Linked DNA regions of Coturnix japonica. The protein of the gene in region 1 purifies or fractionates together with the protein of each later gene. This does not show direct contact. Links are inferred from orthologs where the notes say so. Each region holds a gene or a part of one and is shown on either strand. Other genes may lie near its edges.

Evidence for each region.
Region 2: the proteins of ACVR2B (region 1) and INHBA purify together in Homo sapiens (affinity purification with western blotting; 3 studies listed by BioGRID and IntAct, with this or other methods). This does not show direct contact. The link is inferred for Coturnix japonica from reciprocal best matches to the Homo sapiens genes ACVR2B and INHBA.

What each region holds. Positions count from the first base shown.
Region 1 is NC_029517.1:5,092,741-5,096,556, reverse strand, and holds part of ACVR2B (activin receptor type-2B), read left to right. Parts: intron 1-946; coding exon 947-1,090; intron 1,091-2,103; coding exon 2,104-2,247; intron 2,248-3,106; coding exon 3,107-3,255; intron 3,256-3,816. UniProt on the Homo sapiens protein: Transmembrane serine/threonine kinase activin type-2 receptor forming an activin receptor complex with activin type-1 serine/threonine kinase receptors (ACVR1, ACVR1B or ACVR1c).
Region 2 is NC_029517.1:76,024,407-76,028,322, forward strand, and holds the start of INHBA (inhibin beta A chain), read left to right. Parts: upstream 1-1,334; 5' UTR 1,335-1,440; coding exon 1,441-2,233; intron 2,234-3,916. UniProt on the Homo sapiens protein: Inhibins/activins are involved in regulating a number of diverse functions such as hypothalamic and pituitary hormone secretion, gonadal hormone secretion, germ cell development and maturation, erythroid differentiation, insulin secretion, nerve cell survival, embryonic axial development or bone growth, depending on their subunit composition.

The DNA.
Region 1 (3,816 bases):
GCAAAGCAGCTGGAGGTTTTAGGTGTATTTTGTTGTTGGTTCTCAAAGATCAAAATATTTCTACTTTTGGCAGGAGGCAGCCTTGAGGTCATCAATGTTTTACAGCCTTAAATAGCTCTTGCTTTGAAAACAGTAGAGAATTCAGGTTTTGCCAGAGGATGACAGGCAGAAGTTTGACACACAAAGTGACACTTGGAGGCATAGACTGTTATATATGTTCCATACAAATACCTCACAAAGCAAAACAGGGAATTTTGTGCTGCTCTCACTGTGAGCTGCATATCAATAATTTGTGATTAACAGTATGGTGACCTTGCTCCCTTCCCTGAGGGACATAAAGAGCACTCTCAGACATAGGGTTTGGATTTTGGTTTGTCCTGTGTGGATCCAGGAGCTGGACTCAATGATTCTTGTTGGTCCCATCCAACTTGGGATATTCCATAATCCTTTGCACTTTTTGCCACACACCACCTCTTCATTCCCCTATAAATACAGGCTGAGGTAGCTGGGCTTGTTCAGCCTGCAGAAGAGAAGGTTGCCAGGTGACCCCATTGCAGCCTCCCAGTACAAGGGAGCCTACAAACAGGAGGGGAGCCAGCTCTTTACAAGGGTAGATAATAGTAGGAAAAGGGAAAATGGTTTTAAGTTGAAGGTGGGGAGGTTTAGGTTGGATATCAGGATGAAGTTCTTTACAGAAGGAGTGGTGAGATGCTGGAACAAGGTGCCTAGAGAGGTTGTGGATGTCCCATCCCTGGAGATGTTCAAGGCCCTGGGCAGCCTGGTCTAATATTGAATGTGGAGGTTGGTGGCCCTGCATTGTGGCAGGGAAGTTGGAGCTTCATGATCCTTGAAGTCCCTTCCAACCCAAGTAATTCTGTGATTCTTTGATTCCCCTGCTTTGTTTTATGGTCCTGCTACAGCTTATGACTGTTGTTCTTCTGTGCAGGACCCCGGCCCACCACCTCCTTCTCCTTTGGTTGGCCTAAAACCTTTACAGCTCCTGGAGATCAAAGCCAGGGGACGCTTCGGCTGCGTGTGGAAGGCTCAGCTGATGAATGACTACGTAGCAGTGAAAATCTTCCCAATTCAGGTGAGAAGGGCATCACCCTCAGGCTCACTCACAGGGTTGCCGTGCCAGTGTTGAGATGCTCTGAGTGCCCATGGAGGTGTTGTCATTACTATTACAAAGACTGGAGGCAATAGTTAAGGACCTCGCCTATCCTTTTCTATGTGATATCTCATTACCAAATGCTTCCTGAAGTAGTTGTTGCAAGAAGGGCAAACAAGCACATTTTGAATCTTCAAGTTTTTAACACTGCTGCAAACAGTGCTGTCAGAAATCGGACTGCAGTGCTTGAAGTGCACACAGAGGACCAAATGCTCAGCCTTGTGTGTCCTATCCAGGAAGGCTGTAAACCCAGACCCCCCAACCTAGCAAACACTTTATTACTCACAGAGATGTAACCCCGGTGCTGTGCAAGCTCACTGCACTTCAGTGTGTCTGTCAGCTCAAATCTTCTACTTCAAAAAACCTTTGAATGCTCCTGGCTTGACTCTTTAGGAATTGCAAATAAAAGGAGTTGAGCAATCAAAAGTCAAATGAGAGCGGAATGACTGAAACATCTTTGTGCTCTTCCGCAGTCTCCTTATTCGTTAATTTTTTTCTCCCTGTATTTGTTGTCATAGCATTGCTAAAGGAGATTTGCACATCTTCTGTCCGTGCCAGCTGTGACCTACTAGTAAATATTCAATACAGTCTAGATTGGATTTGCAGTCGTAACAATTTGCTGTGTGCACAGGCTTTATTCCTGACTGCTTTCTTAGAAAATCTTGAGAAAGCTTATTTCTCAGTGAGGTTGGGTTTGGATCCCTCCCCCCTGCCCAAACATGAGCTTTAGGAGAATTTTGGAGAAGGGAGATTGGGAACAATGACTTCCATTCTTCTTCTTCTAGCATCTACCCTGTAGGAAAATAGCCTCATTTCAAAGGGGAGCATCACATCTTAAGGCTGAGGGATGTATTGAGAGGGATGCAAGCAGCTGAAGGAGCTGTTTGCTTTAAAGGGAAGTGTGATCTTCGATGGTGTGTTTCTCTCTGCTTTAGGATAAGCAATCTTGGCAGAGTGAGAGGGAGATTTTCAATACTCCTGGCATGAAGCATGAAAACCTTTTGCAATTTATCGCAGCAGAGAAAAGAGGAACAAACCTAGAGACAGAGCTCTGGCTGATCACAGCATTCCACGACAAGGTAACATATCGTTGCACATTCATTTGGGGGTGGCACAGGGGTGGCTGGCTATGAAGCACAGTATTTGGTGGCTGATATTCTCCCAGAAGCTCCCCCAGTTGGTCTCCCCTTCAGCAATGGCCCTTCCTTTAGCCTTCAAGGCTTTCCTGCACAAACATTGGATTAAGAAAGGTGGGACCTGGGGAGAGGGAGGTGGCGCAATAGGCTGCACACAGCTCACGTATGCTGTGCTTGCCATCTCATAACATGTGGAGATGAGCCAGGGAGAGCTGGAGGCTGGGGCCACTGCATTCCCAACCCAGCCCTTGCAGATAGGCTCCGTGTTTGTTTTTGAAGCTCAGGGCATACCTCCTCTGTCTTGAATTGCTTTAGTTATCAAACATGACTAAGGCTCAAAATAAAACAAACACACACAAACCAGGGGTTGAGCCGGCAGCATTATCCCTCTATTTAATCCAAGGTCTACTGAGTCAATCATTTCCACTACCAGTTGATATGATGCAACATCTTCTTGCATGCAGATATTTCTTCTTTTCTAGCTTGTATGACTTGCTCTTTTTGTGATGACTTTGTCCCTTCCTTCACCAGCCTCCCAAGCAGATGAATGGATTGGGACACAGTTTAGATATCCATATACTTTTTGTGCTGTCGCGGGCCAAGGACTCATGAATGCTTCTGGGTTTTAATTCTTCTTTTTCTTTCTTTTTTTTTTTTAACATTTGCTAGTTATATTTTTTGCCTGTTAAATGAAGGTTCACATTTCTCAAGCACTCATTAAAACTAAATGAAACCGATGAGTCTGCACATCTGTCACATAGCAATGGCTGTGATTAAGAATGTACAATGTCCTGTTTTGCAGGGCTCTCTCACGGATTACCTGAAGGGCAATATCATCAGCTGGAACGAGCTCTGCCATGTTGCAGAAACCATGGCCCGTGGCTTGTCTTACCTCCATGAGGACGTCCCATGGTGCAAGGGTGAAGGACACAAACCTGCTATAGCACACAGGTACAGCCTCTTTCCTTAATGCTTTTCAGGTGCCGTGTTCAAATGTTTATGACCTCTTTGAAACGATGCTGTGGAATAGAGAAGGAGGTTGTGCTTTGGGGAAGTAAATGCCTTTTATCCAAACAAATCCTGTGCTAAGACAGGAGGGTTTTTTACCCACATCTGAAATGGAAAAGGGCTAGTAATCAGTGTTTTGCCTGTGAAATACTAAGTGTGGCTGGTGGTGGTTTATGGCACACATCTGAAGGGTGGGGACTTCTCTCGGCCCTCACGCTGTCTTGATATGTGTTGGAGAGGGGAACCTGGTTGCTGCAGAACCTCCCTTGGAAGGGGCTGTGCTTCATAAATCACAACGTAGAATCACAGAACAACTTAAGGATATCTGGTTCCATCCCCACTGCCATTGACAGGGTTGCCACTCACCACATCAGTGCCCAGGGCCCCATCCAGCCTGGCCTTGAGCACCACCAGGGAGTGGGCATCCACAGCTTCTTCGAGCAACCTGACAACTTCACTGGGCAACCAATACATGTATTTACGGAGTATGTTATTTCCTATGTT
Region 2 (3,916 bases), about 71 Mb from region 1:
CTGCCCGCATGCCTGTAGTTATCTCACTAAAACGACAGACCTTACAATGCTTATCTTTATGAATTATTCTTTCCCACTAAAATACAATGGTTGATGGTAATACACTGAGAGGGAAATGTTTTCTGGGAAGGAGGTAAGCACACCTGAGAAGAAGAAAGAGGTTTGTGCGTGTGTGTGTGTGTGTGTGTGAGAGAGAGAGAGAGAGGGAGAATGAAAGAAGGTAAATACCAAAGAAGCAGAAGCTCTGAGAAAATCAGAAAAAGTTCAAGTCCAGCGTGAAAGAACCTCAGAAGTTAAACTCCATCAGCTGTAGTTTTCTCAGTTTCTGTTACGAACTCCAAGTGTGAAGGAGTTTGTTAGCTTTATCCTCGCTAAGTAAGGTGGAGAATGGAGATGCTGCTGAAGTTAAAGGCAATGTGAAGCCTTAACAGAGACTTCCCATTGCAGGGCAGAAGCCTTACTGGAATAAACTGCTAAGGTTCTGCTGACATGGACTGGAACTCTGGCTCCTAGCAGTGCTTTAAGATTGCATTTCACTCATTATGTCTTGATCTAATATTACGATTGTGTAGTTTAAATGGATGAAACAAAAAGTTCCTTCGAATAACAATGGGCCAAATGTAGAAGATCTTACTCAGTCTTCACTCAGACAGAATTATTATTGGCACTGATGAGGGATTTGCTTGAGTCAGGAGCAAGTACGATTTGGCCAGATGACATGTAATATGTTCCGTCTTCAAAGCATTTTTCAGACATTACTTGATTATTCCCAAACCTAAATAGGAACTTCTAGGCACAGACTAGCATAGTAGCAGGGATGTTTTTGGTTCCTGAGTAGTACCTTTGCATGTCACAGACCTGTGCCCTACCAGCTCCTCCTGCTCTCAGTGCCTGGCTTGCATTCTGCAGCTGGAGAGAGTATCAAGTATAATAGAGCCCTCCAAACAACAGGATTATTTTGTTTCTGTCAGATCTCCTGCCAGTGTTGATAACCTCCAGCATTTACAAGTGAGCAGAAAAGATCTTTTCTACTCAAGGCAGAATAGCATTCTACCCAAAATATTCTCAGCCCCTGCCATCATCCCGGTCTTGTTCACAAGCTATTTAAGATCTCCTGCTAACCCTAACAATACCATACAGGACAAGAGCAAGGTGCTCATTAATAAAAGGTTTCATTCTTCATTCATTCATGTTTCCTCTGTTTAGTTAAGCCAGAGATACTGTTGAAGGAATAAAACAAACAAAAAAAAACACCAAACCAAACCAAACAAAACAAAAAAAAAGAAAAAAAAAGGAGGGGGGACGACAGCCAGGAGGGAGCCCCAGGAGGGTCAAACTGGGAAAAAGGAAGAGTAAATTTACAGGAATTAAGAGATTTTACACAGGAGGGCAGAAAGCCTGAGTAGTGATATTTGAAGAGAGGTGTGTGTTAGAGGAGCAATGAGCATAAGGAAGCCAGCCTGCCTGTTCCTCCCCCTTCCTAATCATAGCCTTTACTCACAGACAAAACTCCCTCCCTCTCCCATTCACTCACTCACTTTAGGCCAATCCGTCCTCTCCCTCTCTCTCCCTCTCTCTGTGTCTCTCTCCTACTCTGAGACAGAGTCAGAACTCTTCTCCCTGACAGCCACTAACATCTACAGCACTTATTGCATTCAGAGAGGGAACCTGCAAACAAAACTTCACAGAAAACTTTTGGTTCTTGTTCCAGAGAATTTGCTGAAGAGAAAGAAAAACAAACAAACAAACAAACAACACAAACCAGCCCCCAAAAAAACTGTGCGTGAAGGGGGAGGAAAAGCAGGGCCTTTTAAAAAGGGAATCACAACAACTTTTGCTGCCAGGATGCCTTTGCTTTGGAAGAGAGGATTTTTGTTGGTGATTTGCTGGATTATAGTGAGGAGTTCCCCAACCCCAGGATCCGAGGGGCACAGTTCAGTCACTGACTGTCCATCATGTGCCCTCACCACGCTCTCGAAGGATGTGCCCAGCTCACAGCCTGAGATGGTGGAAGCAGTAAAGAGGCACATACTGAACATGTTGCACTTGAGGGACAGACCTAACATCACCCAGCCGGTGCCCAAGGCAGCACTTTTAAATGCCATCAAGAAACTCCATGTGGGAAAGGTGGGAGACGATGGCTATGTGGAAATAGAGGATGATGTTGGAAGAAGAGCAGAAATGAATGAAGTTGTGGAACAAACCTCAGAAATCATCACTTTTGCAGAATCAGGTGAGTGCTTAAAAACAAAGCAGTAAAACAGCCTATTTATCAGAACTGCAATTAACTTCTCTGTAGCAGTACTGCTTTATGCGAGGTTGTGAGATGAGACCTGGGGGAAGGGAGAAGGACGAATGGGGTGGGGTGGGGGGTGGAGGGGTGACGGGGACTCTGAAGGAATTTGATTTTTCTGATTTAGTCTTGCCTGCAGATTGCACTTGCTAGTCACAGGCAGACGCGCAGGGAAGAAGCTCTTTAACCCATCTCAAGCAGAAAGTCAGGCTGCAAAGGGGTGCTCCAAACTGCTTCTGAAACCAAAGTACTTGCACTAAAGTACTGGATTGCAGTGCTGATGGTGAAAGAAAAAGGGCTCAAGGCATTTGGGGATTTTCTAAGGACAGAAAAGTAAGCTGCAAACTACTTGAGAAACTGCCCTTTAAAAATTACAGTGGAAGTTATAAAATCAGATGAGCCAGCTTTAACTTTTAGAAGTGAGAGGGCTTTTTTGTTTTCTAATTTAACACAGCATCTTCGGCAATAAAGAGTTGCAGGGACTGTCAGATGACTTCAATAGAATTGGACAAGTTGCTGTAGCTGATCCAATTTGTAATGCAGACTTCTGCATGATGGAAAAAAAAATTCTGCTCCTAAACTGCTTCTGCCAAAAAGAAAAAAGAAAAAAGAAAAAAAAAAGCAACTTTGATAGTTTATATTTTGAACTTTTTCACAGTTCTGTTTTTTCCTAACTCTTGTATAGTAAGGGTTAAGAATATAGATATTTATTAACTAATGGCTAAGGCTCACATCAACTGCCTATCAGAAACAGCTTTAAAGTTGTAGTTTACTGTCTTATTCCTACACGAATAGGACAAAAACTCATTTTAAATCAGTGGATGTGTATGTGCATATGTATCTGTTTGCATATATATGTTTATGCATGCATCAATGTCAATATCCTGCAAAAACTCTATCATCTAACAGCAACTTTTTATGATGCTGTCTAGCCAAAGCATTTTTCCTGTTGCCAAGACAGTTTTAAAAGAATGTCATTGTTTTGTTTGGTACAGCATATGGTAGGCAAAGTATGCAAAGGAACACCAAACATTTTTGTTTAAAAGTTTGCTGCAGCAGTATAAACAATTAAGACAACACTCAGAGTTTCCAGTCCTGAAAACCTGTTGACTCAGATGTTCTGTTTGCAGGGAAGCCATGCATAAGAAGTGTGCATGCTTTTAAGATCAGACATTCCTGCTGCCTGTCCAATTTCCAACTGCACAGGGACCCCTCGCCTTCGGTGTTCTTGTCAATACACACATTATCAGTCCCTTCAGCATGCAAGCTCAGGCTTTTTTTCTTTTTTCTTTCTTTCTTTCTTTCTTTCTTTCTTTCTTTCTTTCTTTCTTTCTTTCTTTCTTTCTTTCTTTCTTTCTTTCTTTCTTTCTTTCTTTTTTTTNTTTTTTTTTTTTTTTTTTTTTTTTCCATCCCCACCACTTCAGAAAGCAGGCAGACATCAGTGCCAGAGGTCCCCAGAACCAGGGGTGGCTCAACCTTAGTTTAGAAATGAGCTTTTAAAAGCAGCGAAATCTCTACGAGTCAGATTCCCCACCTGGTATTCAGCAGCTCATTCTGAAACATATATGGCATGAGCAGTGGTTTCTCGTCCCTGTGTGAGTCCCAATCATTTGTAAACACATT